Linked DNA regions of Sus scrofa. The protein of the gene in region 5 purifies or fractionates together with the protein of the main gene of each other region. This does not show direct contact. Links are inferred from orthologs where the notes say so. Each region holds a gene or a part of one and is shown on either strand. Other genes may lie near its edges. The genes, in order: ANAPC1, MAD2L1, CCNB1, ANAPC13, CDC27, UBE2S and ANAPC16.

Evidence for each region.
Region 1: the proteins of CDC27 (region 5) and ANAPC1 purify together in Homo sapiens (affinity purification with mass spectrometry; 16 studies listed by BioGRID and IntAct, with this or other methods). This does not show direct contact. The link is inferred for Sus scrofa from reciprocal best matches to the Homo sapiens genes CDC27 and ANAPC1.
Region 2: the proteins of CDC27 (region 5) and MAD2L1 purify together in Homo sapiens (affinity purification with western blotting; 29 studies listed by BioGRID and IntAct, with this or other methods). This does not show direct contact. The link is inferred for Sus scrofa from reciprocal best matches to the Homo sapiens genes CDC27 and MAD2L1.
Region 3: the proteins of CDC27 (region 5) and CCNB1 purify together in Homo sapiens (affinity purification with western blotting; 6 studies listed by BioGRID, with this or other methods). This does not show direct contact. The link is inferred for Sus scrofa from reciprocal best matches to the Homo sapiens genes CDC27 and CCNB1.
Region 4: the proteins of CDC27 (region 5) and ANAPC13 purify together in Homo sapiens (affinity purification with mass spectrometry; 5 studies listed by BioGRID and IntAct, counting the BioPlex papers as one, with this or other methods). This does not show direct contact. The link is inferred for Sus scrofa from reciprocal best matches to the Homo sapiens genes CDC27 and ANAPC13.
Region 6: the proteins of CDC27 (region 5) and UBE2S purify together in Homo sapiens (affinity purification with western blotting; 4 studies listed by BioGRID, with this or other methods). This does not show direct contact. The link is inferred for Sus scrofa from reciprocal best matches to the Homo sapiens genes CDC27 and UBE2S.
Region 7: the proteins of CDC27 (region 5) and ANAPC16 purify together in Homo sapiens (affinity purification with mass spectrometry; 10 studies listed by BioGRID and IntAct, with this or other methods). This does not show direct contact. The link is inferred for Sus scrofa from reciprocal best matches to the Homo sapiens genes CDC27 and ANAPC16.

What each region holds. Positions count from the first base shown.
Region 1 is NC_010445.4:44,482,742-44,486,770, reverse strand, and holds the start of ANAPC1 (anaphase-promoting complex subunit 1), read right to left. Parts: upstream 2,811-4,029; 5' UTR 2,788-2,810; intron 1-2,787. Other genes in the region: MERTK (tyrosine-protein kinase Mer), read left to right, coding at 3,501-3,561. UniProt on the Homo sapiens protein: Component of the anaphase promoting complex/cyclosome (APC/C), a cell cycle-regulated E3 ubiquitin ligase that controls progression through mitosis and the G1 phase of the cell cycle.
Region 2 is NC_010450.4:103,925,927-103,930,165, forward strand, and holds the start of MAD2L1 (mitotic spindle assembly checkpoint protein MAD2A), read left to right. Parts: upstream 1-1,431; 5' UTR 1,432-1,643; coding exon 1,644-1,716; intron 1,717-2,469; coding exon 2,470-2,616; intron 2,617-4,239. UniProt on the Homo sapiens protein: Component of the spindle-assembly checkpoint that prevents the onset of anaphase until all chromosomes are properly aligned at the metaphase plate.
Region 3 is NC_010458.4:47,336,866-47,341,054, reverse strand, and holds the start of CCNB1 (G2/mitotic-specific cyclin-B1), read right to left. Parts: upstream 2,817-4,189; 5' UTR 2,685-2,816; coding exon 2,664-2,684; intron 2,056-2,663; coding exon 1,885-2,055; intron 1,792-1,884; coding exon 1,615-1,791; intron 1-1,614. UniProt on the Homo sapiens protein: Essential for the control of the cell cycle at the G2/M (mitosis) transition.
Region 4 is NC_010455.5:75,602,202-75,606,373, reverse strand, and holds the start of ANAPC13 (anaphase-promoting complex subunit 13), read left to right. Parts: upstream 1-1,358; 5' UTR 1,359-1,382; exon of another isoform or gene 1,383-1,433; intron 1,434-1,755; exon of another isoform or gene 1,756-1,807; intron 1,808-2,086; 5' UTR 2,087-2,113; coding exon 2,114-2,212; intron 2,213-4,172. Other genes in the region: CEP63 (centrosomal protein of 63 kDa), read right to left, coding at 227-261. UniProt on the Homo sapiens protein: Component of the anaphase promoting complex/cyclosome (APC/C), a cell cycle-regulated E3 ubiquitin ligase that controls progression through mitosis and the G1 phase of the cell cycle.
Region 5 is NC_010454.4:16,809,652-16,813,673, forward strand, and holds the start of CDC27 (cell division cycle protein 27 homolog), read left to right. Parts: upstream 1-1,216; 5' UTR 1,217-1,299; coding exon of another isoform or gene 1,300-1,378; coding exon 1,379-1,405; intron 1,406-4,022. UniProt on the Homo sapiens protein: Component of the anaphase promoting complex/cyclosome (APC/C), a cell cycle-regulated E3 ubiquitin ligase that controls progression through mitosis and the G1 phase of the cell cycle.
Region 6 is NC_010448.4:59,567,674-59,571,809, forward strand, and holds the start of UBE2S (ubiquitin-conjugating enzyme E2 S), read right to left. Parts: upstream 2,812-4,136; 5' UTR 2,267-2,811; coding exon 2,264-2,266; intron 1,642-2,263; coding exon 1,494-1,641; intron 214-1,493; coding exon 23-213; intron 1-22. UniProt on the Homo sapiens protein: Accepts ubiquitin from the E1 complex and catalyzes its covalent attachment to other proteins. Catalyzes 'Lys-11'-linked polyubiquitination.
Region 7 is NC_010456.5:75,081,166-75,085,477, forward strand, and holds the start of ANAPC16 (anaphase-promoting complex subunit 16), read left to right. Parts: upstream 1-1,507; 5' UTR 1,508-1,649; exon of another isoform or gene 1,650-1,816; intron 1,817-3,990; exon of another isoform or gene 3,991-4,083; intron 4,084-4,312. UniProt on the Homo sapiens protein: Component of the anaphase promoting complex/cyclosome (APC/C), a cell cycle-regulated E3 ubiquitin ligase that controls progression through mitosis and the G1 phase of the cell cycle.

The DNA.
Region 1 (4,029 bases), on a different chromosome or scaffold from region 5:
CAAGAAACAGACCTCTGCAATTTCAGTATGTTGTTCAGCAAACGGAATCTTTTATATCTACCACCTCCATTCTCCCAATAAACTATAACAACTACAAACATCTTCTTTCTGGAATGGTTTGGGGAAGAAAAATGGAGTCTTCTACATGTCCCATCTAAATTCCTCTAGAACTACAAAGGATTTAGACTACTAGGATTTTGTTCCAGAAGCTAAATGGAGTTGCTTGAAAGCATCACTTCAGTTCCCCATCAGATTACAAATTCTAGATCCCTGTGCTTCTGGTATGTTCTTTAGTAGTGGCTGAGTAGAGATTCCTATATCCACCATCCCAATCTCCTCCAATCTTCAACTGCTGGACACTTGTACTTTTATGCTGATTCAAGACTCTGCTAAGCAGCATCTCAGTGCTTCAGTGAATGCTGATGTCTAGATATTTGCACATCCCAGATGTTCAGCATGGCAAAAGGAATCCAGAAGTTGCAAGGGCTAGACACTGGTTCTTCCAGTTTGTCATTCACCTCTCCAAATGTAGTCTCTTACACTGTCTAATACCAGTCCTGTTGACTCTTAAACAACACAGATTTGAACTTTGAGGGTCCATTTACACTCAGATTTCTTTCTTTCTTTTTTCTTTTTGTCTTTTTAGGGCTGCACCTGCAGATATAGAAGTTACCAAGCTAGGGGTTGAATTGGAGCTGTAGCCACTGGCCTACACCACAGCCACAGCAATGCCAGATCTGAGCTGTGTCTGCAATTTATACTGCGGCTCATGGGAATGCCGGATCCTTAACCCACTGAGCGGGGCCAGGGATTGAACCCCCATACTCGTGGATACTAGTCGGGATAATTACCATTGAGCCACAATGGGAACTCTAGATTTTTTTCGATAAATATGACACCAGAGTTCTTTTGTGGTGCAGCAGGTTAAGGATCTGGTGTTGTCACTGCAGCAGCTTGGGTTCTACTGTGGCCTGGGTTTGATCCCTGGCCTGGGAAATTCCACATGCCATAGGCATGGCCATAAATAAGTAAATAAGTAAATATGGTACCTTATATAAATATGCATTTTTTTTTTTTTGGCCATGCTTGTGTCATGTAGAAGTTCCTGGGTCAGGGATTGAACCTGAGCCACAGCAGTGACCCAAGCTACAACAGTGATAACACTAGATCCTTAACATGCTGAGCCACCAGGGAACTCCCTATTTTTCAAGTTATGTTTTCACTTTTGATGTCTAATGTTAGTCATACGTGTACTATCTACAGTGTTTTGTATCATATAAGACTATTTAATATCAATATAGGTATTGACATGTTTTACATCTTTTAAACACGTGATATAAACTTATGGTATTGGTAAATACAGTACAGTACTATAAATGTATTTTTTCTTCCCTAATGCTTTCTTTTTTTTCCCTAAGGCCTTCTTTAAAACATGCTCTTTTCATCAGTTGTATCATTTTTTAAGATTCCACATATAAGTGGAATATGATATTTGTCTCTGACAGTTTCACTTAGTATGATCATCTCTAGGTCTATCCATCTTGCTTGCAAATGGCAATATTTCAATCTTTTTATGGCTGGTAATATACCATTGTGTATACATACTATATCTTCTTTATCTGTTCATCTCTTGATGGACACTTAGATTGCTACCATGTCTTGGCTATTGTGAATAGTGTTGCTCTGAACTTTGGGGTGCATGTATCTTCTCAATTAGAGTTTTCTCCAGATATATGCCCATGATAGGGATTGCTGGACCATATACTAATTCTGTTTTTAGTTTTTTAGGGAACCCCTATACTATTCTCCATAGTGGCTGCACCAATTACATCCCCACTAACAGTTGAGGACAGTTTCCTTTTTTCCACACCCTCTCTAGCATTTAGTATCTTAGACTTTTTGATAATGGCCGTTCTGACTGGTGTGAGGCGATACCTCATTGTAGTTTTGATTTGCATTTCTCTCATAATTAGTGATGTTGGGCATCTTTTCATATCCTGACTGTCTGTCATCTGTCACATCCCCGACTTGAGGAAAACTGCTACAAGGCTGTTTTCTTCCCTCTCCATATTTTCAGTTGAGCATAGGACTTTCTGCTGCCTTCCCTCCAGGTTTCCTCCTGCCCCCAAGCACAGCAGCAGGCTCCTGGGTACGTATGTGAAACTGCTCTGCTGTACTTTAGAATTAGCTTCTTAGCAGCAGATCCCCTCACTGTTCACATCTGTTCATCTGGCCCCTTGAGATCCGTGTCACCCTGAGAGACTAGGGATGCCAGGTGATGTCACCATGCTGATGTTACTTTTGCTGTCAGTGTAATAACCAATCTAAATCCATTTGGGCTTGTTGTCTCCTTACAGCCAAATATACCCCAAGTGACCACCAGCCTAGGAGTCAGGGACTGCTGGATCAGAAAGCAGCGTAAATGGAAATGGAGTAAGGAGATGATGTCAGAGAGGAAAGAGGACCACGTCTTCTAAGACCTTGTCAGCCACAGGCAGGACTTTGACTCTTTTGCAGGGAGAAAGCAGGAACCACCAGTGGAGTTGTGATTAGAGGAATGCCAAGATTTAGCTCACGTTGTCAAAGGATCACATTAAAATACATTAACTCTAGCGGCTGCCCCCTTGGCCCCTACACACTTTATCACTGCGGGGCTATCTCTTTCCGCTAGTGTTCTGCACTTTTTCCTTGACGATCTTCCATGACCATCACGTCTTTGACAAGGGGACACAGTGGTTCTTCCCCCGGGGGGAGGAGAGTTCCTAAAGGCCAGGGCTGGTCTCTCACCTTTGGCCCGATACCCGAGGCGGTGTAGGCGGGGAGCGCTCGGCCGGGAGCCGGTGGATGCGGCGCTCAGAAAGATCGCCTACCACTGTGGCCTTGTCCTCTGGGAGAGCTGCTGCTGCCTGAGTTTTCTGGGTCCACTAAGCCTGGATTGCGGGGTCGCCGCTGCCCGGGAGCCGCTGGCCCCTCCTCTTAGGTCTGGTGGCTGCCTCGGGCGTCTTCTACTCCTCTGGAACTTTATCTCCTCCCTCTGTCCCTCCCACCTGCACGTGTTGGACGCCGGGACCGCCCAGAGGCCTGGGCCGGGTTCTCCTCTCCACCTCCGGTCGCCCCTCCCCTTTACGGCCCCCACCTCCTCCCCTCTCTCCTGTCCCCTCGCCCCCACCCCACATCCAGGTCCGCCCAGACCAGCCCCTCCCCGCCCCTCTAGTCCAGCCTTGTCCCCTTACTCCTCCTCCTCGGCCCTCCTCTCCCCCCCGCCTTCCCGCCCGCTTCCCAACCCAACTGGCTAGGGTCCGCTCGGACTCGGCCCCCGGCCCGCCCCCTCCAGCCCTCAGCGCCTCCCGCCGCTGCTCGGCTTCGCCACTTCGGGGTTGGAGCTGCCCGGGCCGCCGGTACTGGGCCGCTTCTCTGGCGCGCTTGGCGGACGACGCGGCGTGTTCCAGACGTCTGTCTCTCCGTCGGTCCAGAGAGAATTTCCAGATCCGCGCCCCAGGATGGGACGGGCTCTGCTGCTGCTCTTGCGGTGGCTCCTCCTCCCCGCGCTCTGGAGGGGAGGTGAGTGCCCGGGGCCAGGGGCCCGGCGCTGGGGGCTGGGGGCTCGCGGCCGGGAGCTGGGAGGTGGGAGCGCACCGACCTGGGCGCACCCGGCTGCAAGAAAGTTTGCAAACATCTCCCCGCGCCCCAGCGGTGCCAGGCGCTGGCGCGCAGGAGTTTCTAGCAACCCACTGTCCCCGCACCCAGGCTGGGTCGTGGGCGCGCGTCCCGGTGGAGTCGGGAAGGGGTGGGTACCGAGGGCTCCCCTTAACCGCCCAGGGGGAAATCGAGCTTGACTGGAAGCGCTGCAAGCCCAAAAGTTTTGCGCGGAGAGGAACGCTGGTCGCAGGTCTGGCGCGGAATGCGCCAGAAACTTTGCCCTGGACTTGGTTGCGCGGTTGGACCCTGGCTGTGGCGGGAGTTCTGGGAGCGGCAGACCCCATCTCCAGGGGGACCCGCGCCCGGAGACCAGCAGACTGTGGGAGTTGG
Region 2 (4,239 bases), on a different chromosome or scaffold from region 5:
GGTGATTTAAACACACACACACTTGTACCACAGAAACTAAAGGATGTAAGGAAAATGTTATTGGATCAAATCAACTTATTACATATTATACCTGTTTCAGTCTTTAAACTGATCAAGTTTTGATATATAACACTGAATAGGCAGAGTTCTAAGGGCGTCCTCAAAATTTGTGGCCTCCAGGGAGCCTATCCTATAGAATCCCTCCACTTTAGTGTGGCCAGAGTAGTGATTATTAGGAGTTATCACTTTGAGGATTAAGTTCATCAAAGAGGAAATTATCTGACTGGGTCTGACCTAATCACTTGAGCCTTTAAAAGGGACCTCCCAGAAGTCAGAGACTGGAAGCCTGAGATTTATGGAAGGGCTACCTGGCAAAAGCACAAGACTGGCCTCTGCCAACAGCTGGCAAGCCAGTGAGGACATCAGTCCAAGAACAAGGATATTAAGTCTACCAAGAACCAAGGGCCTCAGAAGAGGACCCCTGATTTTAGGTAAGATCCCACTTGCAGACAAATACCCTTATTTCAAACTTGTGAAGACTACAGTAGAGAACTCACCTATGCCACGCCATGCTCCTGACTGAAGGACTGATAATAAATGGGTGTTGTTTTAAGCCACTCATTTGTGGTAATTTATTATGCAGCAATAGAAAACTAATACACTCAGGCATTTTTTCATACAATTAAATAACATTATGTAAGGTGGTTAAGTTTTTCAGATTTCATTTTACATTTTTTCTACCCACTTTAAGAATAAACTTGTTTCAAAACAACTGACATGCACATTAGTTGCGCGCTATCTCTTTAGTACTTCTCATCCTAACAATAAAATTCAAAATTCACGGAAAAGTTCTTCAGTGTTGAAAGGCCTTTTTGGTGAAGTGACCTTACTCCTGACCAGTCGCCGAAGGATGGCGGGGTGCAGAGTGCAAGCTGGACCATCAGAGACAGCCTCAGGCTGCCCCCAGACTGAGCCTAGCAGAGGGTCGGGGTGAGGAGTAGACGTGAGCTTTGCCCAGAACAGACAAGGGAAAGAAGAATGGACGCAGTTCATCCCTTTAATCCCTAAACCAATTTCTCAGGAAAAGCCGCGCGCCCACAAGTAATCAGGGTCTCTAATAAAACTGTGGTGCGCACGCAGTAGCTTTAGAAACTCCCAAAGCATCTGAGGAGTTCCGCCCGCCCACTAAGAATCACTGGGGCTACTTAAGGTACAGCTAGCAGACAGATCGGAGCATTTTCAAAATATCTTTCAAACTCAGGAGTTGTGCTCCTTACCCCTTCTGCCTGAAGACTCAAGGCGCGGCCACTAAAACCGCGATATACCGTCTTTGCCGCAAGCCCCCAGCTAGCCAACCAACTACCGCAGGAGTTCCACAAGGAACCCACCGCGACGCAACGACTCAACAGCGTGAGCACGTCCACCCACTGCGCAGGCGCGAAGAGCGGCTACGCGAGGAAGGAGAAAACAAGCCAGACCCCGTGGTGTAAGGGCGGGGCCTAAAGGCTCGTTGCGCCTGCGCGAAAGAGTCGACGGCGTCCTGCGTCGTTACTTTTGAAACCGGTGGCGGGGAACTACTCTGGAAGTCACTGGTGTGGCTGGTTGCCGCGTGAAAGCGCGTCTCTTCATCCGTGGGCCTGGCCATGGCGCTGCAGCTCTCCCGGGAGCAAGGCATTACCCTGCGCGGGAGCGCCGAAATCGTGGCGGAGTTCTTCTGTAAGTCCTTCTCGCGCAGGCCGGAGAGCGGGGAGAACTGTGCCCAGGCCGCCAAGTAGGCCCGCGGCTCGGTACGGTGGCGGGGAGAACCCATTGGGTCAGAGCGGACGCGAATCCGAGCCCTCTCAGTCTCAGCGTACTGCCAGGCAGGAGGGATCTGGAAGAGGCGGATGCAGGCGCCTCTTCCGGATGCGTTGCTAATGGTGGAGGAGGCGGCCTAGGTTCTGCTGAGGCCTGCCTGGCGATATAACCGCTTAGCCGGGAGCAAACCCCATACCCACCCCGAGGTGAATCAGGATTGACGGTAATGGGCTAGACTTGGGGAGGCGTTCTTCTGGACCAGGCCAGTTGCACCTTCTGATAGAACCTGGCAGGACTTGTGAGAAGAAAAGGAGGAAAAAAAGGAGAGGATTGCCTGGGCGTTGGACGACTCAGTTGCTTCTTTTGACATCCTCTAACCATAAAGTCTGAATTTAGAATTGTTTTACAATGAAATGAAATTTGGCACTGGTAGATAAATGCAGTTTGCCATGTTTCTTTTATTGCCACTTAAATGCAGATACCACTTTTTTGTTTAGAAGCAAAATTTTAAAGCTTTTTAATTTCACTTTGTACCTTTGAGCAAAACACAAACGCGTGTTTAAACATTTACAGCTTTACACCATTAATGAAACCATAGCCACATGACTAAATATGTTTTATTTCTCAGAATTACAAAATGAAAATGACTTTTAACATTTCTTTTGTTTTCAGCGTTTGGCATCAACAGCATTTTATATCAGCGTGGCATATATCCATCTGAAACCTTTACTCGAGTACAGAAATACGGACTTACCTTGCTTGTAACTACTGATCCTGAGCTCATAAAATACCTAAATAATGTGGTGGAACAACTAAAAGGTATTTCATTGTTGGAAACAGTTTTGAGTTTTGCCAGCATTCTAGGATCCATTTTCTAGCAGCTTGCTGGTCATTTTTCATCTGTATACCTGGTGGTGTAAAACACACTACCATCTCAAATATAGTGAAATAACTGGGAGGAAGAAAATAAATCAAAAAGAAGTCCCATCTTTACCCCATTTTGAGTGGGCTGAATATTTTCATGTTAGGAACGCGATACGGCTTAATGAAACAATTCCCATCAACTCCTTTAGAAATGAGTGTTGCAGTTTATGTGACCAAATGGAACATGTTGGAATTTTACATAATTATATTGGTGTTCATTATCTGAGAAAAATCCACTATATATATATTTGTAGCTGCATGGAGTCTAAAGCCATCATTAAGATGAAGGAAGCAAAACTGAATTCAACCTGGGGACTAAACTTTAAAAAGAACAACTACCAAATAACAGAGCACCATTAGAATTTTCTTACTTTTCACCTGTTTCCATTGTCTTGTCTTAAATCCTACATGTGAGTCTGAATACTTATTTTTTCCTTTTAGCTCAAGAAGTGTCAGTATTGTTTAATTAATACTTGTTCTCCATCTATTCCTCTTCTTTCTTCTAAAATTTCTAGTTTCTCTTTCATGTTTGTCTCCACCTAGGGTTCTCATTTCTAATTTTTCTGTGTTGTAGGATATTTTTCCATATCCACACATTGATCTTCCAAAGTTCTAAAAAACACTACAGCCCTCATCTTTATTTATTTTTTTTTTAAGTTTTTACTGAGGTATAGTTGATTTACAATGTTGTAATAATTTCTGCTGTACAACACAGTGATTCAGTTATACATGTATACACATGCATTCTTCTTCAGATTTCTTTCCCATGTAGCCCATCACAGACTGTTTGGTGGAGTTCCCTGTACTATACAGCAGGTCCCTATTGGGCAAGCATTCCATATACCTCAGTGTGCATATGCCAATCCCAAATCAATCCCCCACCCCATCCCTCTTCCCCCACTTCTCCCCTTTGGTTACCATAAGTTTTTCAAAGTCTCTGTTCTGCAAATAACTTCATTTGTATTTTTTTTTTTTTTTTAAGATTCCACATTAAGTGCTATCATGTTTGTCTTTCACTAACTTCACTTAGTATGATAATCTCTAGGTCCATCCATGTTGCTGCAAATGGCATTATTTCATTCTTTTTTATGGCTGAGTAATATTCCATTGTATATATGTACCACATCTTCTTTATCCATTCCTCTGTCAGTGGACATTTATGTTGCTTCCATGTTTTTAATTTTAAATGAATCTTTTTTGTTTCAAGCAGCTTGATTTTTTTAACTCAATGAATTTTATTACATTTATAGTTGTACAACAATCATCACAACCCAATTTTACAGCATTTCCATCCCAAACCCCCAGCCCATCCCCCAACCCCCAACGTGTCTTCTTGGAAACCGTAAGTTTTTGAAAGTCTGAGTCAGTATCTCTTCCGCAAAGAAGTTCACTGTATCCTTTTTTTAGATTCCCCATATAAGTGATAGCATATGACATTGGTGTCTCACTGTCTTACAAACTTCACCTAGTATGATAGTTTCTAGGTCCATCCATGTTGCTGCAAATGCCATTATTTTT
Region 3 (4,189 bases), on a different chromosome or scaffold from region 5:
TATGTTAATCCTTAGTCTTTATTTCAAATTATGGACTGTTTCCCACTGCCCAAAAGAACACAAGTTCTGTTCTGACTACTAAGGATTAACTGACTTGTTATCACAAACCATTTTCCTCAAGCTCCAGTTACCCTGTGGTCCAAACATTGACTGAGCACTTTCTTCAAATCAAGCCCTGTGCTAGACACTGGCTTTATGATGTCCTCAAGAAGCTTTGAATTTAGAAAAAGTAAATGGGAGTTCCCGTCGAGGCTCAGTGGTTAACGAATCTGACTAGGAACCATGAGGTTGAGGGTTCGATCCCTGCCCTTGCTCAGTGGGTTAACGATCCGGTGTTGCTGTGAGCTGTGGTGTAGGTTGCAGATGCGGCTCAGATCCAGCGTTGCTGTGGCCCTGGTGTAGGCCAGTGGCTTCAGCTCCGATTAGACCCCTAGCCTGGGAACTTCCATATGCCGCGGGAGTGGCCCAAGAAATGGCAAAAAGACAAAAGACAAAAAACAAAAAACAAAACAAAGAAGTAAATGAAGTAAAGAGACTGATTCTGGGAACAAGAGTAGGGTGGGGGAAGTTAAGATGGGGATGGGGGAAGTTAAAGAAAGCTTTGGGTGTTGATGCTTGAGCTGTTATGAAGGATGAAAAGGTTATCAGTTACATGAAAGAGGGTGGGAAAAGTATTCTTGTAAGTGGGGAAGCAAAGGTTAGAATCACTATGGGACTTTTAAATGAAAGCTCAGGTCATGAGGTATGGTCAATTAAAGAGTGGGGGAAAAAAAAAAGGAACAAATGAAAACCACAAAAAAAATCCCATAAAACAAAGACTGTGCATGCTACAGTTTTCTGTGCTGTGTCCAGAAGGTCAATATTAAATCCACAGCCTCAGTCACATCCCCTTCCCTTAGACATACAATGAGGCTGAATGACTTTAACAGACCATTTCCCAACCAGCTTTAAGGAGATATTAAAAATTAGTACTTAAGAATGCAATTCATTGCAATTTCAGCCAAGCAGCCTCTTCTAGATGAAATATTTTTCCCTCACAGAAGAAGATACATTTAATATCTGATATTTAATAAAAAGTTCTTGGTGTTGAGGCCAAGTGTTAAGCCATCTTCTTACCCTGCTCTCTGAAGAGCTACATTTTCTGCTTTACACATTTATATATTTCGGTGTTGGCTTATTATTATTTGGTGGCCACATTAGGGAGTAAACAAAAAGGACTTAAAGAGAACAATCTGTGCTTCAGTCAACATATTCTGGTCAGAGATGACTGGTACCTTAAAGACAGCAAAATCTTTGGTCCCTGCAGCTACCACTCAATACCGTAAACAAAGGAGGGGTAGTAAAACAAAGCAATTAAAAGCACAGTTTCTGAAGCCAGATAGGCTGGGTTTGAACCCAATTCTGTCATTGACTAGATGTGACTAGAAGAATACCAGTGCTGAGTATACTATTAACGTGAGCTAATGCATGTACAGTGCTTAGCAGAACCTACTTCCTGTTAAGTACTATATAAATGTTACTATTACTACTATTTGTTCAAATGCTATTCCATACTTGAATAAAATGAAAGGAAACAAACAATCAACAGACTCTAAAATGGTCCAGAAAGTTTACCAAAATAGGTTCAGGGGAAAGTTTCTCTCCTTTAACAGGCTCAGGTTCTGGTTCAGGCTCCAGTTCAGGCTCGGGCTCCCTCTCTGGCTGGGGCTCTAATACAGGTACAGGAGCCTTTTCCAGAGGTTTCGGTAGTTTTTTAGCAACAACTTTTCCAGCAGCTAAAGTTTTTGCTTCCTGTGGATGAAAAGGAGAGAATGGATTGTTTCTCCACCAAGAGCCACAGCTGGAAGGGAGACACTCACAGAATAGTTGAATCAGCATAGTTACCTTTTTCAGAGGCAGTTTGGCCTGTGGCTGTTCACTGACTTTGTTACCGATGTCTCCAAGAGCAGTTCTTGGCCTCAGTCCGGGCTTAGAGGTTGCAGCAGAGGCCACAGGCACGCGCTTTGCGCCTGCCATACTGATCTTCGCCTTATTTTCAGCATTAATTTTCGTGTTCTGTAAGAAGCAAGACGAGTCTGGGAGTTGGCCCCGCCACGTTAAAATAAGTCAAGGGTTAAAGCGGGGCAAAAAAAAAAAACAACAAAAAAAACTGCGGCCCTCAGAAGGAAAGCCGACTGTGAATGGGTTCCCAGGGGAAACCGGGGTTCCAGGGTCTACGCTAAGCTTATGACAAGTCAGTTTTCTCCTGGAACCTCTCCGTTCACCTATTGAGGGATTACGTGCTCAGTCCCCGCCGGACCTAAAATACCATGGAAATCGAAAAAGCCTTCAATTGCAGGCACCTTCCCTTTCCCTCAGGGAAGAAGATTGCGCAATTGGTGGGAGCCCACTCGGGTCCTCCAACACCTTTTACAAAAGGTTTCCGGTCTACCCTCCATCTGCCCCCTCCCCCCAATTAGTCCAAGGCCCATCCGCTTCTCTTTTGCACCTTTCTCTCTCCGTCCGTCTGCCCCCCAAACTCTCCCAGTATGTTAGGGGCCCACCGACCGCCTTCCTCCTCTCCAAATTCGCTCCCACCGTGGGGGAACTCCAGCAGGGGAAACAGGGAGAGGAGACCCAGGAGTCAGGAGAGCCGCGTTTGTTCACCAACCGCAGCAGCTCACCCTGGTGATCCGGAGCGCCATGACTTCCTCTGTACCAGGCCAGGCAGCAGCTCAGAGGGGAGAAGCAGAGCACTGGAGCCCCGACCAGCCGGGGACCTTGAAGCCACCACTAGCTAACAGCCGTTCCTCCGCAGCACGCCGGGAGGAATCCGGCCCCGCCTCGGGTTTAAACCCCGCACCGCTCCCTCCTTATTGGCCTGTTCGTGGCACTCGCTCACTTCCCATTGGCGGCGGCCAGTTCCTCCGAAAATGCGTTTCCAAGGCGATCCCGCGAAGAAGTTCGGGCGGGGGCGGGGCCAGGCCGTCACGTGGTCTGACTCGGCGCCTGCGCCCTGGGGCAGCCGCTACTGCCACCTGATGAAGGGAGGGTTCTCTTTGCCCCACACCTGGAGCAGTGAACTTGTAAGCGACTAAAGTTAGCTGAGACAAGTCACAGCGGCCTTGGGAAAGGAAGAGTGGAGCTCCTTGTTTGACGTGAGGGGCAGTTATGGCTTTAGTCCTACTTGTTAAACACACTTTCCTCTCCTAGAGTGGCTTGTAGCAGGAAATACTTTTATATATACATTCTTTTTTCGTTTGTTCATTCCAACAGCACTCTGGGATAAAAAGGAGGCTCCGAGATGCTTTGGGTGACTCCCAGGATCACAAATTAGTAACACGGGATTGAACTTCACTTTCTTTGGATCCATGAGGTTTCCACACACTAATTGTCTCTTAATTTTGCAAGCCAGGCTGCCTCTTAACCTGCCAGATTACTTCAATCAAGTTGTTTCCCAAAGCCAATCTTTTTCTTTTAGTTTTTTACTTGAAAATAATTTCAAACTTACAAAAGTTTCAGACAAAAATGTAACAAGGAACACACATAGAGCCTTTATCCAGATTCAAATATCCTTAACATTTTTACCCCATTTGTTTTATGGTTTACTTAATCTTATATATAGATCTATGTATAACTGTATATAAATTTTTTTTCTTGGAAATACCTGTTGTGGCTCAGCAGTAACAAACCTGACTGGTATCCATGAGGATTCAGTTTCCATCCCTGACCTTGCTCAGTTGCCCTGAGCTCTGGTGTGGGCTGCAGATGTGACTTTGATTCAACCCCTAGCCTGGGAACTTACATATGCTGCACGTGCGGCCCTTAAAAAAACAAACAAACAAACAAACAAAAAACCACTTAAATATTTGAGGGTAAGTTATATATATCATGGCTCCTTATCTGTTAAATTTTTAGTGTGTATTTCCTAAGGAAAAAAGCATATTCTCTTAATGTAATCACAATAGAATTAGCAACTGCGTAAATTTACTATAACATTTTATTCAATCTAGTTTGTATTCTAATTTTGTCGCTTGAGCAGTTTCTAGCACTTTCTTTCCTCCAGTACAAGATCCAGCTAGGGTCAGTGTTGCATGTAGCCTCCTTTAGTCTGGAACAGTTCCCACAGCTTTCCTTTGTCTTTGTTTTTTTTTTTTTTTTTTTTTTTGTTTTTTGAACACTGATGGTTTTGAAGAGTGCAGTACTCCCT
Region 4 (4,172 bases), on a different chromosome or scaffold from region 5:
AACTTCCCACCCGTGAATGAACCGCTATCACCTGCCATCAATGACCTAAGTCGCAACAATGCTAAGAAGCTAACCAGATGAGGCAGCCCAGGCGAGAGGGCCTTGCCGAGGATCCCTCCCCTGAAGTGGAAGAGTGGCCCGCGGCTAACTCCGCTCCGGGAAGACGAGCAGCTCGCCCACCCCGCCGCCCTCCCGCCGGCCCGGTCTCTAGGTAAGAGCTGACCACCTGGCTGGCCGGGACCGCACGCCGAGGGAGGCCATATCCGGCTTCGCGGGTCAGCCGGGCGTCAGCGAAAAGGCCGGGGGGCGGGGCGCCGGGGCGGAGCCGGGCCGGCGGGGGCGGGCCTGGAGGCCAGCGGGCGGCTGAGGAAGCAGGCCCCAGGCCATTCGGCCGCTCGGCCCGCGGCCCCACCGCAGCCAGGGCTACCTCCAGGCCCAGAGACGGCCGCCCCTCGCCCGTCCGACGTTCGCAATGCGGTTAAGGGCTGCCGCGAGCGCTCCCCGAGCCTTCCCGCCGTTACCTACGGCTGGGGGTGCGCACGCGCGGCACCGCCAACCTGACGTCCAGCCACAGCAGTCAGCACGTTCGTTTTGCCCACTGCTCCTTCACTTTTAATTAAAACAATGTCCTCCCTAACTCCCCCTGTGCTCCGGCAAATGGGCTCACCCACATCCGGGGATCGGAAAGTGAAGGACGTCTGGGTCACGTGATGCTGAGGGCGCGGTCGGCGGGGGTGTGTGACACGCTGGGTTTGGGGCTGGTAAAAGGGTTTGCGCGCACGTAATGTAGGGTCTGGAGATACGGGAGCGCGTTCGGACTCCTGCCGTTTCTCTTGGCTTAGGTCGTTGTTTTCACATCATCCTCTCCCTCCTAACCACTTCTCTTACCACACGTTGGGCGGGGAGGAGGGGAACTTGCTTGGCTGTCCGGACCCCCCCCCCTCGCTTCCGCATTTGGTATATCCCGCCTCGGGCCGGAAGCCGTGGCTGTGGGGCGGCCTCCCAGGCCTGTATGGACGGTGGTGGCCCGAGAGGGTCATTTCTAGCGAGGGAAAAGGCGTCCCAGTTTTGCTCATGTAACTGCATGTTTCACAGAGCTCTAAAGCAGAGATGAATAAAACTGCCCTCCCCCCGGGAAACGCAGGCGTCTCGTGTCTGGAAAGACCGTGTGACAGGCAATATACCAAGATCCTGATGGGGATCATTCTCTGTGCCCAGAGAACTATGGGACCCGCGGAGGGGCGGGGACTGCGCTCTTCTGGCTCTTAGAGAACGACTCCTGCAGAAGACGACCTGGGAGCTAAATTTTTTGGACAGTTTGGGGTTAGCTGGGGAAAAAAGGAAGAAGACAGAGCATTCCAGGCATTGGGACAGTCGTATGTGTAAGAAAACTTTGTTCAGGAAAGTGGTAATGCTTCATTCTGTTGAGTGAGGCAAGTGTTTGAGACGTAGTCATTTCCTGGTCATTGCCCCTCTTTGCCCGTCTTGTGCTTTCCTTTTTTCCAGCCCCTGAAGAGAGAAGGCACCTTAGCGCCTAACTCTGGAAATGGCATGTTGGTTCTGATGAGCTGACGCCAGCTTTGAGTTTGGAAGGAAAAATGGGTGTGTTAGTGATGGGGTAAAGAACTTTGAGTGCAAAGGCTGGAAAGGATAACAGAGTTAGAGGTGTTCGGAAGAGGGACAGGTGAAAAAAGATTGAGGCCAAATTGAGGAAAGATGTGCTGAGTCACTGACAAAAAATTTTACTACACACAGCAATTGGAAGCAGTAATACCTGAGCAGTTGGTCACAAAGTCGACCTGACTTGGTTAGTAGATCATAAGGACAAAAGGTAGATCAAGGGCAGGATGTGGGCTGAAGCTGGAGTGATCTGAGAAACCCTTACAGAAAGGTGGGATCTGTGTGTGACTGGGAAAATCAGCTGGAAGGGACTGTGATCTTGTAAATAACCTGACCCGGATGAGATGAGTCTTTCCCAAAGTGATATCATGCCAAAAGACACATCCAGGCTAAAAAGCTTGGAGAACCCCTAGTGCTAGATTACATCATCTCCTCATGCTTAAGAAATAACCTCTTTGGCTTTCAGATCTGGCAAGAGCAAAGCTGCAGGAAAATGGACAGTGAGGTACAGAGAGATGGAAGGATCTTGGATTTGATTGACGATGCTTGGCGAGAGGACAAGCTGCCTTATGAAGATGTTGCAATACCACTGGTAGGCCCCTGCTTATTCTGAGGTGATGGGTTAAAGGTCTGATATAGTAGAAGTAGGATATCAATGGGCACATAAACTAGTAAAGCAAAGAAATCAGTGCTGTAGAGTCCTCTAACTCTAGAATCCTCTGAAGAACAATTATCTTGTTTTTTTTTTATTTGAAGAGAAATGTGTTTCAGAGAACTGATGTGACCAGCTCAGTTAGGGGTCATGCCAGAACTAGAGCCCAGGTCTTCTGAGCCATGTTCTGTCTGCCACACCACAGGTGGGTTTATCAGTTGACATTTTTAGACACTCACATTTTTGAAACACACACCTATCCTAGGTTCCCTGGAAAATACTCAGAAGACACCTGGCTTTTCTTTTTTTTGCATTTAGACCATCGAGCTCTCTTGTTTCCTGATCTTTGGAAAATTCTGCAAGGAGTTTGTTAAATCTCGTGTTATAAGTTATCTAAACTTTTTTTTTTTTTTTGAATGAGGGCTTATTAAAATTTGTATTTATGTTACCAAGGCCTAACAAGGAGAACAGGGAGTTTTCCTTTAGAGCCTACCAACTTTCCTAGGAAGAGCTGGTAATAGAAGACAGCTTGCAGGCGGACTGCTGCTGCCATTGACATTTCATTTAAGAATAAGTGATAACAGAGTTCCCTGGTGGCCTAGCAGGTGAAGGATCCATCATTGCTGTGGCTCTGGTCATTACTATGGCATGAGTTCAGTCCCTAGTCCAGGAACTTATGCATGCTTAAGGCATGGCAAAAGGGGGGGGCGGGTAATATGTTCAATGAATAATACACATAACACATAACTTAGTTCAAGTTTAGAAAAATAGTCAAAAGCGCATACAAGAACTATAGCTCCACTTATCAAATACCTGTTTTGTGCCATGGACCAAGATCGAAGTCTGACGTATATTATCCCTGATGCTTAAACTTCGGGGTGGTGGTGTTACCCTCAATGTACAGGAAGGATATAGGATCAAAGAGAGGAATTTGCCCAAAGGCTGGTAGCTGATAGGTTGGACTTGACATCTAAGTCTCTGAGACTCCAGATCCTGTTCTGTGGACTTTTTTGGTATCTTCATTCCACAAGCAACTCTTTGAAGCCTACTGTGTGCCGTAAGACTGGGTAAACATAAGTATAGTTTCTGCCCCTCAGGGCCTAGAGATGCAACATAATAAGTAATTTTAATAGTAGGTGCTCTTAGTGGGGGGTGATAAACAGCTACAGCCAGGCAGTAGACATCAGGAAGGGCCTCAGCGAAAAAAAATCACATTTAAGCTGGTCACGAGGAAGGACCAGAGGTTTAGTGGGTAAACAAGGGCCCTCCAGTAAAGGGGACAAATGTGCAAAGGCTTAGAGTTTTGAAAGGCTTTGGGAGATGGTGAAACCTCCGTGTGGATGGAGGGTATACTCGTCATCAAATGTGGTAAGAAAAGTTGGTGTTGGACCCAATTCTGAGAGGAGCATTGGATGCCATGCTTAGCCCTCATCTTAAGGATATGCAGGAGTGAGTGGTCTTCAAAGTGGAAATCTGCCTTCTCACTCACATAGATTAGAAGATCAGCTTAGCATTGTTAAAGAATGTCTGTTGTGGAGAAAGGGTTCAGTGACAGGGCAGAGACCAGTTCGGATGCTATTATAACGTCTAGACAAGGAAGAAAGGGCCTAAACAAAAGCAGGAAAGTGGAGGGAGTTGCTGAATTCTGGACATGCTAACAGCAGAATTTCAGGACCATTTATGTAGAAAGGGTTGAGGGAGAAGGAAATTTCAATGCCGACTTCCAGGTTGTAGCCGGGCCGTATTGCTAATCCATGTCTTTTCCCAGGGCCTGCAGTTCTAAGGCAATGTTTGTGTTAGTTAGCTTTTGCTGCTGCCTAACAAATAACCCCAAAACATAGTGCCTTAAAACAACTGCTGTTTATGTCCTGATTGTGACACTCAGCTGAGAGAGTCTCCT
Region 5 (4,022 bases):
CAAAATAGATAAGCAACAAGGATTTACTGTATAGCACAGGGAACTATATTTGATATTTTGTAATAAACTATAATGGCAAACAATCTGTAAATATATCTGCATCACTTTGCTGTTCACCTGAAACATAATATTGTAAATCAACTATACTTGAATTTAAAAATATTGCAAAGACTTTTTCTTATCTACCAAAAAATAAAGTTTTGATAGTTCCCTGTTCACACATTCTGGGGGGAAAGGGAGCAGGAAGTAAATTTGAGAACCTCTTAGAGTTTGTTAGACACAGTCACATACTTTAATGCATTTAGTTCTCTTAATTGCTTTTTTTTTTCAGACTAAGGCAACAGAAGTTCAGGGAGGTTGTGACTTGCTTAAGGACCTAATACAATTTAGTGCCAGAGATAAAATTCAAAACTAAGCCTCTGAATTTCCCAATACACCACAATGCCTCTATCAAGAATAAAAAACTCTTCCCTCCTGAGATTTTTCCATGATCTGGCCACCTAAATAATCATTTCCAGTTAACGTACCAGATCTCATTCTACTTCCTTCTATTTTCTCCTTTCTTCTAATTCTACCCATCCTTCGAAACCAGTCTGAAACTTCCTCATCTCAATCCTAATTAATTTCCCTTTCCTCTCTTCTGAATGCTCACATCACCATATAATGTACTATTCTTTGTTACATTAGTTTTCCGTTAAATAGACAATAATCTCTTTGAGGACCGGGGTCCTACAAAATCTTCGGGGGTGGCAATCCTTCCAATTTCCTATTTTCCTTTTGAGCCTTGAATAGATAGTTCTGGAATGAATGAATGACCTAAACTCAAAATACAGATAATTCTTGTTTAACTAAAGTCAACCCCAAACTCTTGGGTTTAACCCTTTGCTTAATCTGCAGCGCACCAATTAATCCAGCAAGGTTGAGCGGAGAAGCAAGGCGGCCACCGGGTCACGTAACGATCCCAGCTGACTCCTGCAGCCATGCCCAGCCTACTGGTTGCGGATTGGGCGTGCCCTAGGGTGGCCCATGGGGGGCGTGGCGTGCGTGAGTGAAGGCATGGCGTAGAAGTGGAACCTACGCACTGGGTTACACTCGGTAATCTCCGGTAATCCTCGACAATTTCCGGCAACGGTCTCCTCCTCCGTCGATACACCTCGGGTATTTCCGGTTTCCTTCGGTCATTTCCGTCTGGCTCCCGCCCCGGTCTCTCCACTTCGGGTTTTTCCGTGTCCCTTTCGGAAGTACTCGGCAATCGCTCGGCCTCCCCCATCCCCCGGTAACGGTCGCTGGTGAGTTTAAATGAGCCGGGGCTGGCCGGGCCGGAGCCGCTACGGGGGGGGGCCTGAGGCACTGCAGAAAGTGGGCCTGAGCCTCAAGGATGACGGTGCTGCAGGAACCCGTCCAGGTAATGGTAACCCCCTTCGCTGAGGCTTGGCTCGCAGCCTTGGTCTGGAAGCAGCGTATGGCCACTTCGCGGCCTGGTGCGGCCTAGGCCCGGCTGCTTCTCCCGCCTCCCCTCTCGCCGGCTTCTGCCTGTCTTCTCGTCAGTTCCGAAGCCTTGCCCGCAACCTAAGCCGTGTTACCTCTGGCCCTACATTACTTCTTCCCCCAGCAGGAGCGGGGTTCGTTGATAAGACCCCCTTTCCCTTCCAGGCCAACGTCGAGCGAACCCCTTCTGTCAGTCTGGGGGCCGGGCCCGGGACGGGTTTGGGATGAGGGGGCGGAAAACTAGCCCCAGGTGCTCTCTTGCCTGAAGATGATTGGGAAGCATATTTGATCAGCGTTTGCAGGATCTTCATAATGGTGGGGCAAGTTTGCGGGGAGAGTGTTGTTTTTGATTTTGTTTTTGTTTTTTTGTGAGTAGGTGGAGGGAGGGTAGGATCGGTGTTTTTAATACTAATTTCTATTTCGGTGACAGACTTTGTAACCCACGTTGCTTTTCTCGCCCAGTAAACTTCCTTCTGGACAATGATTTCCGTCGAGAACTCCAAGGCCCGGTGCTGAGATGCAAGCACCTATTAAAGGGGAGAGGGTGGAAACGGCAAGTTGGGTTTTTTCCATGACCTATGATGGGAATCAGGAGTGTTTTATTGTACGTGTTTATAAGGCGTTCAGGAAATGAAAGGCAGATAATGATTTTTCCGTCCGTACCACACCAAGGTATGTTTTGATGCAAAGTGCTCCATTGGCTTGGAAGGAACCCTATTGGATTTTAAGTGTGTGATGATGCAGTGCCAAGTCATTCCCCCCCCCCCCAAGACATCTGAAGAAACTGAATCTTTTGTCCCTTGGTGATGGACCAGGTCTGGGAGACTTTATGCCTACCCTATGATCTTTGAATTGATTAAAAGAGTTGACCTTTATCAACTACTGTCTTTGAGTCAGGGACTTTCTTTATTTTGAAGTTAAAAAAAGAAACCAATTTTAGAAGTTCTTTCATATTGCCCTTAATAGGCCTATTCACTACTTACTATTGGTATCACATAGTAAAAAATTTAATACATCACTCCTTCCATATTTCCTTAATTTTTCTTCACAGGATGAAATACTATTTTCTCCTAGTTGGCTCTTTCTCTAGCTCTTTTCTGTATAGCAACTATTAGTTTTTTAGTTAATATAATGTGAGATTCTATCCTGGAAGTTTACCTGTTTTTACATTATACTGGTGCTTTCAAAGCTATTTCCTTCCATCACTTTTCTCTTACTAGTAAAGAGTCCCTTTTTAAGATTTTTTTTTTGAAGCCTAACATGAAATTGGAAGTTACTGTCTGTACCTTTTTAAATGGATAAGCAAATCACTTAAATCGTTTAATTTCTGCTTCAGATTTTTGTAATTTCAATAATTAATGATATATTTTCCTTCTCTGGTCCCCAAACCCTTCTAAAATGATAAACTAGTTTTATTACTAACCTATAACAACTATTTATTAACAATTTAAACTTACATAAAAACATAAAGAAAATATGTAGCCAATTCCTTGATAGTACCAATCGAGTTTCCTCTTTTTCTTTAAAGTACTCTTAACTCTAAAGCATTTAGGGTATTTTTAAGGCTTAAAAGTCAGATTTGTCTTGGAGTTCCCATCCTGGCTCAGCAGTTAGCAAACCCAGCTAGCATCCATGAGGACACGGGTTCAATACCTGGCCTTGCTCAGTGGGTTTAGGATCCAGCATTGCTATGAGCTGTGGTGTAGGTCGCAGACGTGGCTTGGATCCCACATTGCTGTGGCTGTGACATAGGCAGGCAGTTGCAGCTCCAATTGGACCCCTAACCTGGGAACCTCCATATGCCGTGGGGGCAGCCCTAAAAAGACAAAAAGACCCCCCCCCCAAAAAAGGTCAAATTGGTCTTTTTTTTTTTCCTATACTACCTTTATTAGATTTGGGCACAGTGGTAAGATGAGTGAAGATAGAGCTAGGTGAGAATTTTGGTTATAATTTTTACTATGAGAAGAAGCCATTCAAGAAGGGATCTGGAGCAATAGGATCTTTGGCTACAATGATAAAAATCAACTGATAGGAATAGTGCTGAAAATGGGAAGGAATTATTAAAAAAGAGAATAAAAATAGAACAGCTACATAAGATACTTTTTTTAAAACTCTAGTAAGTGATTGCATGTATTTGTGAAGGAATGAAAGAAGGTATTTCCTTTCTAGGGATGTCTCTGCTCAAGGTATTACTAGGCCTCCTTGGAAAAAGTTGAGAGAAAAGATGAGCAACTGTTTTTTGCTTTTTCTTTTTTAAAGTTTTAGCATGGAGTAGCCAGTTTGATTTAAACCGTATAAGCCTAAATACAATTCTCTCTCTTAGAAAAGTGTTACTTTATATTTGAGTCTTTACAAAAATCTCTATTATGAGGCAGAAATTTTTGTCAGTTATTTTTAAAGTAACTGGGAGATAAATTAGCCTAAGTGACTTGAATCAGTGTTAATTTGGATCTTAATAAAATTCATCTGATGAAATTTATTTATTTATTTATTTATTTATTTATTTTTTGTCTTTTTGCTATTTCTTTGGGCTG
Region 6 (4,136 bases), on a different chromosome or scaffold from region 5:
GCCAGGCCCAGCCCTAACTCACCAGCAGCACATGCCGGATGCCCAGCTCAGCTGTCCAGTCCCTCTTGAGCACGTTGACACAGATCTCACCGTTGGCGCCCACATTTGGGTGGAAGATCTTGGTCAGGAAGTAGCCCTTGGGTGGGGAGGCAGGAAAGTCCTTCCCCAGCAGGAGTTTCATGCGGAAGAGGCCTCCGGCGTATGGGGTCCCCTCTGGAAGGCAAGGGACGGGGAAGGGGACAACTGGGTCAGGAGGCTCAGGTCTCCTGGGCACCCTGAAAAGCCCTAAAGGGCAGTCTCCACCGACTAGGCTCAGGGCAGGCATTCTGGAGAGGGCGAGAGGACTGGGTTCCCAGGAGGCACCCCCCCACCTCAGAGGTAACCCCTTGGCTTGTGGTTCCCACCCATGGGATGCCTCTCCCCCCCCACCCCTGCCAAGTGGCAAGGCCATGCACACCCACAGCTATTTGGAAGCCTGCTAGGCCAATGCCAAGACAGCTGTCAACTCCACAGTCTCCCCGCCAGACAAACATCCTCATGCCTCAGCCCCCACATCCAACCCATCAGCAGCCTGGGCAGCTGACCTCAGGTCCTCTCCTGAATCTGACCCTACCTCCAAGTCTGGTCACTCCTCTCACCTGTGGACACTAGCAATGGTCAAGAGCTTCCCGACCGCCTCTGCCTTCTGGCCCCCAGCCCCGTCCTCACTGGTCAAAGGAACTCTGAGGCACCCATTACCCCTGTTTTACACCCACCAGCCCCTTCCTTTCCAAACTCCTTAGAAAAAAGCCTACAAACACTGAAATATGTCCCCTAGAAGCTTCTCTAGTCTCCCTCCTTCCTGTTCCCGTAAGGTACACACGGAGTCGGCCAAAAACCTCTGGGGACCCATCAACACACTCTAACCGACACCCCTGGAGAAGTCCGCCCTGATCCTTCCCTACAAGCCGAACTCCCATCTAGGTCCTTCATCACTTGCTCGGCGCTGAGATTAAGAGAAATTCCACTAATAAGTGAAATGTAGCACACACGCAGTAACACGCTGAACCACTGTGTGTGGTCCAACGATCACAGGTACTCATTTGCTTGTTACTGCCCTCTGCCCGCCAGACTGCACCTGGCTTGTTCTCTGCTTGGTCTTCAAAGCCCCTGACACTGACAGCAGGAAGGAATTTGCAATCGTCTAGCCCGCCCCCCCAGGCCTCTCAGACACCATTCCCACGTCCTGGCACCCTCTTCCCAATTCCACTCAATTCCTTCCCATACTTCTGGGTGTGAGGACACCCAAACCAGATAGGACCCCCAGGATTTTCTCTCAATTCTCTCAGAGAAAGTATACACAACTGCGATTTCCCGCCCTGCAGCCCATGAGCACCATGCGTACCAGGTGTGCCCGTCACAGGTCTGGCAGCCCACCTTATACTGAGAGCTTCCTATTCCCGCTCCAAGGATGCCAAGGATTTAGGAAGCGCACCTCCCTCACCCACACTCACCAGGGCCCTCGATGGTGACCTGCAGGTCAGTGAGGTCCTCCTCGTTGGGGAAGACCTTGATGCCATCAGGTGGGTCAGCTGTCAGTGTCGTCACCTCTTTGTACACCAGGCGGATAATGTGCGGGGGTAGGTTCTCCACATTGGAGTTCTAGATGTGGAAAAAAGGGGGCGAGCCATGGGCCTTTGGTCCTGGGGCCTCCTGCAGGACCTAGGATGCGGTGGCCGCCCTACTTTTCTTGCCCCTGCAGTCCTAGTCTGGCCAATCACCCCGAGCTCCCAGACACTCCCAATCCAGGGTGCTTCAGGCGATGGCTTCAGGTGAATCTCCCATTAGGAATGGAGCGGATCTCCAAGGTCTGGCGGATGACTCCACCTTCCCCATAAGTCCCTAAAGCCCATTCGTAGCCCCACATACGGACCCCCAGTGGTCCCGGGTAGGCCCGAGCCCTACCCCGGTGTCCTTCCACACCTCAACTTGGGAAGACCATCCTGGAAACCCCAGCTCCGGCCTGGAGATGGCGGCGGAGTGTCGTTACTCCCGGAACACCCACGGGCAGGCCCGAAAGCCCGGAGCCCTTCCCGGAGCTCAGCTGGGCCTTCCCCTCCCGCTCCGCCTACAGGAGGGCCCCTGGGCCCAGCCCTAACCCAGGACCCCCAACTGGGCCATCCAATCCCCCAGCCGCCAGAGAGATGCTCCTGAGACCCCATCTCCTCCTCCAGGAGGGCCCTGACCGCCCCCCCCCCCCAACAGGCCCGGACGCGACGCTCACCATGACTGCGGCCGGCCGGGGGCGGGTCCCCCCGGCCCCCTTCCTGCGCTCTCCGGCCGCTGGCTGGGGCGGGGGGCCCAATTGCCGCCGCTGCGGCCCTGGGGAGGCCCCAGCGGCCCGGCTCCGCGCCCCACTGCCTCCGACGACCGCCACACACCGCCTGAGCAGGTAAACCCGCCCCGGGCGCCCGACCGCACTAAGCCGGCCGCGCGCACACCGCCGCCCTTTTATATCCGCCCACAGGCCTCGCCCCCTCGGGGCCCCTCGCGCCGCGCCTCGACTCGTGACGTCAGTGCGCACACTCCTTGGCGTTCGACGAGCTCGCTCCCTTTCGACAAACTGCGGGCAAGAGCAGGAGAAACTGGGGAGGGGGCGCGGGGCAGGCTGGCCAATACGTGCGCACGGGGGTCAGGGAGGAAATCCAGGAGAAAGGAGAGGTAGAAAAGGGGAAGTAGAGAAGAGAACGGGAAGGGTGACGCGACCGCTGATTGGTCCGTTTGAATGAAACGCCGGCGTACGCGCTCGCGCCCTGACGCCCAGGAAATCGCGCACGCGACTAACGGTCGACCCGGGAGCCCGAGCCGAGCAAAGAGAGGCGGGACTTGAGGGGTTTTAAAAGGATGATGGAAGGCGGTCCGGCCAATGGGGACGCGCAATCGTGGCGTGGCGTCATGAGACACGCGGAGGCCAATCCCTACTGGAGAAGGCGTACTGGGGCCTTCTCCAGTAGGGAACGGGAGAATTGGAGAGCAACCAATGGGAGTCCTCCCTACCGCGGACCCAGGCGCTCGCAGCCAATTAACTTCGTTCGTTTCTGTGTATGCAGATGAGTGTGCCCGGACGCCTGCGCCCCTTCCTCAGCCTGTGGCGGGGGTGGGCACCGCGAATTGATAGACGTATTTCTGCGAGGCGCCATTTTGTGCTGGCAATGACCTATGACCCGTGTCCTGTGTTGGCAGAGGTTCCACGACCGGCCCCACCCCCACCCCCATGTGTGACCTCTGGCCCCGGCCAGGCCTCGGTTGCGACGCCGGGCGTCAGTTTACTCCTGTGAGAAGAGGAAGAGTCCCCTGGCCTTGTTCAGGGCGCGGTCCTTCTTGTGACTGACCAGGGCCCCCGGCCGGCCGCGCCCCGGCCGGGGCTCCCTCCGCCTGTCGGGGGAAGCGGCCCGGGGTGCCCCGGGGGGACCCTGTCCGGAGAGCCGGAGGCCGAGGAGCTGCGCGGCCTGCCTGGCCCCGGTGCGGTGCGGCCGCGGCGCCCGCCTCAGGGCCGCTCAGCCCCGGAGCGGAGCGTCCAGCTGGGCCACGGTGTCCCGTCGGGGGCCCAGCTTCAGGAAGAGGGAGCAGGACGGTGCCGAGACTCCCACAGCCTCGCGGTCTTCGTGCGCCGGAGGGGCGCGCGGGCGCCCCGCACCCGACCTGCAGGTTCCGCCCGCTGAATGCGGACCTTCCCGCCCCGTTAACACACGAGGACCCCGAAGGAAGAGGGGGGTCGAGTGACTTGCCCAGGGTCCCCCGTGGGGACAAGCAGAGGCGGCGGTGCAGCTGAGCTGTCCCAGCCGACGGTGACTTATGGCGAACCGGGGAGCGGTGGTGGCGTCCTCCGCGCTGACCGGGCCCGCGCCGCCGGGGTCCCCCGAGCCCTTGCCACGGCCCTGTGGGGCGCGTGTCGTGGGATGCCCCCCGGACTCCCGCATGCATTCAGTCCGCTTTTTCTGAGCACCTACCATGGGGCAGGCAGGATGCTGTGGGGATGCAGCAGAGTGTAAAAGGGACAGCACCCCGCGCTCCTGGAGAACCAGACAGTGAGCCAGTGTACCCCGCCAGGAACACAGCCTTTGCCGAACAGTAAGTCGGGGCCAGGGGCGTAGGAA
Region 7 (4,312 bases), on a different chromosome or scaffold from region 5:
AGTTCACAATACATCCCAAGCCAAAGCAGCACTGTTTCCATTCGATTTCTCCTATCTATAAGCTGTTTTAAGCCAACTGATGCAGTTTCCACTACACTATTCCACTGCTGGCTCACTCTAGATAATTTGTAAACTATTGGCATTCCCCAAAAAAGTGATTAAAAGATACTGAGCTTGTCCATGGCTTTGACAGAAAGAACAGAGGTCTCTTTGTAACATTAACCTTTAGGAGTAAAATGCAATCTTCTGTGTTTACCTAAACATTTGCAGTGTCTCACCCACTCTAACCAGCATGGTAATTAAGAAAAGCAGGGATATTTAATACACTTATCCTCAAGGGGAGGACAAAAGATCCTGAAGAACTTTTAGAGGTGTTAAAACTATATGCGCAACAAAATCAAAATGCCTATCAGAATCAAATATGACTTAAGCAACATGGTTCTCCAAACGAACACATTGCTGAGGGGAGGAATCCAATTTCTGTGGGCCCCCAAACTGTACATCACTTCACTGAGAGGCCAAGCTTCTAAACATCACTTAAAGAATCAATAATTCTGGAAAGAGGAGTTCCCTTCATTGCTCAGTGGTTAACAAACCCGACTAGGAATCATGAGGATGCGGGTTCCATCCCTGGCCTTGCTCAGTGGGTTAAGGATCCAACATTTCTGTGAGCTGTGGTATAGTTCCTGTGGGCTTAGATCCCCCACGTTGCTGTGGTTGTGGTGTAGGCTGGCAGCTACAGCTTCAATTCGACCCCTAGGCTGGGAAGTTCAACATGCCGTGGGTGCAGCCTGAAAAAAAGAAAAAAAAAATCTGGAAACAAAGATTCCTTATGGGCTAGCCATAGTTAAGCTCAACCAATGTTCCCACTATATGTGTTAGACGGTCATGAAGCCCAAAATAAGTTAGAGTTCCCCCTCAAAAAATCAATTCTCACTAAATACCCTAACGCTCAACCCAATCCCAGCAAGAAAATAGCTTTAATTGGTAATTTGCTTACAGAACCAAGTGGTGATTTCCTGTTGAGATTAGCAGTAAAATGAATAAAATAATAAGTAAAATAAACAGACTTGAATGTCAGAAGGGGTATAATTATCAAGTTTAATGACTTTACATCCTAGTGCCCTATTCCTCCAGGACCTTTCAAATAAATCTCTCCACAAAAGTAGATTTTAATGTTAAGGAAGGGCGCTGAGACTGAGCTCTGGGAAAGAGCGTTGTCTGAGATAGGAAGCTGTTCATCTGCCTTTCCTTGGGATACGAGTCTGCTCAGAAGGATGGCGGAATAACAAATTTAACCCTGCAGCGTGACGGTTTGGTAAGAGAGAGCAAAGCAGAAGGCCTGAAATGCCGTGCGTTAAGATAAAACCCTAAATGACAAAAGTGAGCAAGAAAAAATAAAACGAGTACTCCAAAGGTAGCGGAGAAATACGGACCCCACAGCAAAAAGAAAATCCGGGAACGAGGAGGAGAAGGACCCGGAAGTCCTCTCCGCCCCGGCCACGCCCACTACTGCAAGGGGCACGCGCACGCCGCTGCCGGTCCCTCCACGCGGGCGCGAGCACGGCGCCGCCCTTGTCGATGTTAACTCGGCCGCACCAGTCGGCCTTGGGGGCGGGGCTGTAGGGGAAAGTGCCAAAGCTGCTGAGGTAAGTGGCCGAGGGCTCAGGGACCCTCGAGAGCCTGGTGGAAAGGGACTTGATCTCTGGGATCCTACCTGCAGGGACTAGTAAAATGGAGAAAGTAGGAGGAGGAATGGGAGCCTGCCGCAGAGGGCGTGCAAGAGGAAATTTCCTTAGGCCGCGCCTGGCTAGTGCGCATGCGGGCCGAGGGCTGGCGCCTGCGCAGTGGAACGGCGCTGTTGGCGTAGCCCTCTGGGGACTCGATGGCGGGTCGGGGTGGGGGTGGGGGTGAGGCTGTGGCTGTGACTTGGAGGTAGCTTGAGAACCGTTGGCGTTCTGATCCCTCCTCTTGGCAGCCCATTTCTTTCCGCCCCACTTGTTTTTAGCTGCACATCTTTTTGAATGGTAATCCAGCTGTTTAAGTGAAACACAGCGGAATGAATGTTTTCTTGATGATGGAGTTTAATAATTGCTTCTAATAATTTGCCATTGTACCAGCGTACTTCCTTCAGTATCTTTATGATAGGACATTTTTAAAAGGAAAAGGTTCTTTCTAAGATAGGTATATATCTGCCAGGAAGGAAAGTAGTTTATGAATACGAGGTCATCCCCATCGTATATGAAGTAAATGTGTTGATTATCTCACCAATGTGAACACAGCCGTGCTGTATCTCCCCAGAGAGCATTGTTCTACTGCAAGGATCGCTACTGCTAATAGTTCCAGCTTTCCTGATAGCGTCAAATCCCAGGTTACCTCATCATCAGTATTTAAACATTTGTCAAAATTTTACAGAGCATCAACTTTGGGCATAGCAGCCAAGTGGGAGAAAGAGTTATGTAAATAGATCTGCAGAATGAGGAAGAAAAACAAAATGATAATGAACCAGTCCTCTTCATACCAATCTTCTCTAGCCCCTGGGTAACCTTTGCTGAGCTGCTCGCCCTGTGTTCTGTCATTTGTTCATTATTCAGGAGAAATTGTGATCCAGGTTCTGTGCTAGGCCTCCAGGGTAAAAAGATAACTCCTCCCCCTTTTCCTAAGAAAGGGGTTCTTCCTAAGATTATGAACCTTAAAAGTGTGAAGTGCATGTTAGTGTGAAGTGCATGTTCCCTCTTTCTGAGCAGGTTCTTTCCCCTCTAGGAGTGTGCTGACTATATGTCAAATGGAGGGAGTAATAACTTTTCCCTTGAGTGTGTTGAAACAATAAGTATGAAAAACCGGGATCTGGATAAAGCAGTGAGATCCTGCTGTATGGCACTGGGAACTATATCTAGTCACTTGTGATGAAGCATGATGGAAGATAATGTAAGAAAAAGAATGTATATATGTGTGCGTGACTGGGTCACTTTGCTGTACAGTAGGAAATTGACAGGACACTGTAAACCAACTTAATGGAAAAAATAAAAATCATTTAAAAAAACTGATCTGGCATAGGGAAAAAATGATTCAGGAAAAAATCATTAGTGATTTTGGATAACTAATATTAAGTGTTTACTGTACCTATAACTGTTCAAATTGCTTTAATTATATTAAGCTTCCTAACATGTCTGAGGTAGGCACTATCATTATCCCAATTTTAGAGATGAGGCAACTGAAGAGTAAAGAAGTTAAATGATTTGTCCCGAGTCATACAGATACGAGCCTAGACCAAGAGGCTTCAGCCTGACCTCTTAACCACTATGCTCTTTCACCTCTCACATGGCACATGACATGCCAAAAAGCCATTGTTTAAAATATGGCCCAGCAAATAAGCTAAAGTCTCTACACCTCAGTTTTGTTTGGTCATCTGTAAAATAAGGGAAGTGGATTAGATGACCTTAAAGGAGGAATCTTGTGGTTCTGTGAAATGCTTAACTCATTCAGCAAACATTTATTTAAATCAACAGCTACTTAGTATAGGCCAAGCATAATGTTTGGTTCTGGTGATCCAAGTGACTGCCTTCATAGAACAGTTACAAACTAGGGTTTATTGTTTGTTTCACTTTCATTCATCACATACCACCTGCTGGTAGCACTCAGAATCTCACCTAAATTTTTAAAGCTAGAAATTACTTGGTTGTATTTTTCCACTTAAGTGGAAAACTGCTTATTTATGTTAAAGTTAGTGCTAATTCTGCACTCCGCTTTTCAACCCTGGCTGTTTTGTGTACTGAATGGTAGTTCTGAGTTTGAAAGAAGACTATTCTTTTTAGAAAACATAAACTTTTTAGAATCTTTTGTAAACATGTAGTGTAAATTTCCATTTTGAACTTTTGTAAGGATTCATGTATTTGGTACATATTTTCTCATTTACATGTGGACTTTCTGGTTTTTTTGCTGTGAATGTGACATAGGATTGAACACTCATACCTCCTCTATTCCTAATAGGCCCTGAATTCTAAGACCATTCCTGAGCTGTTTTGTTCCAGTTTTGGGACGCCACCAAGTGATCAATTTGGATATTACATTTGGATGAAAAAGGTTTTTCTAATTTTTAATGAAAGGGCCAATATGTATTTCCTAACCAGTTCCCCTTCCTTGGGAACAGAACACAGTGTTATTCTGGAATTTTATTCGGAAAATTTTATAAGTGAATTTCTTGGTGTGGCTTGGTTAGGATGTATCCAAGACAAACTGTTCTATGAGGCATGGTTGTTTTATCCTCATATATTTTATTTCCTCAGTCAAATTGCTGCCTTGGCACTGCCAT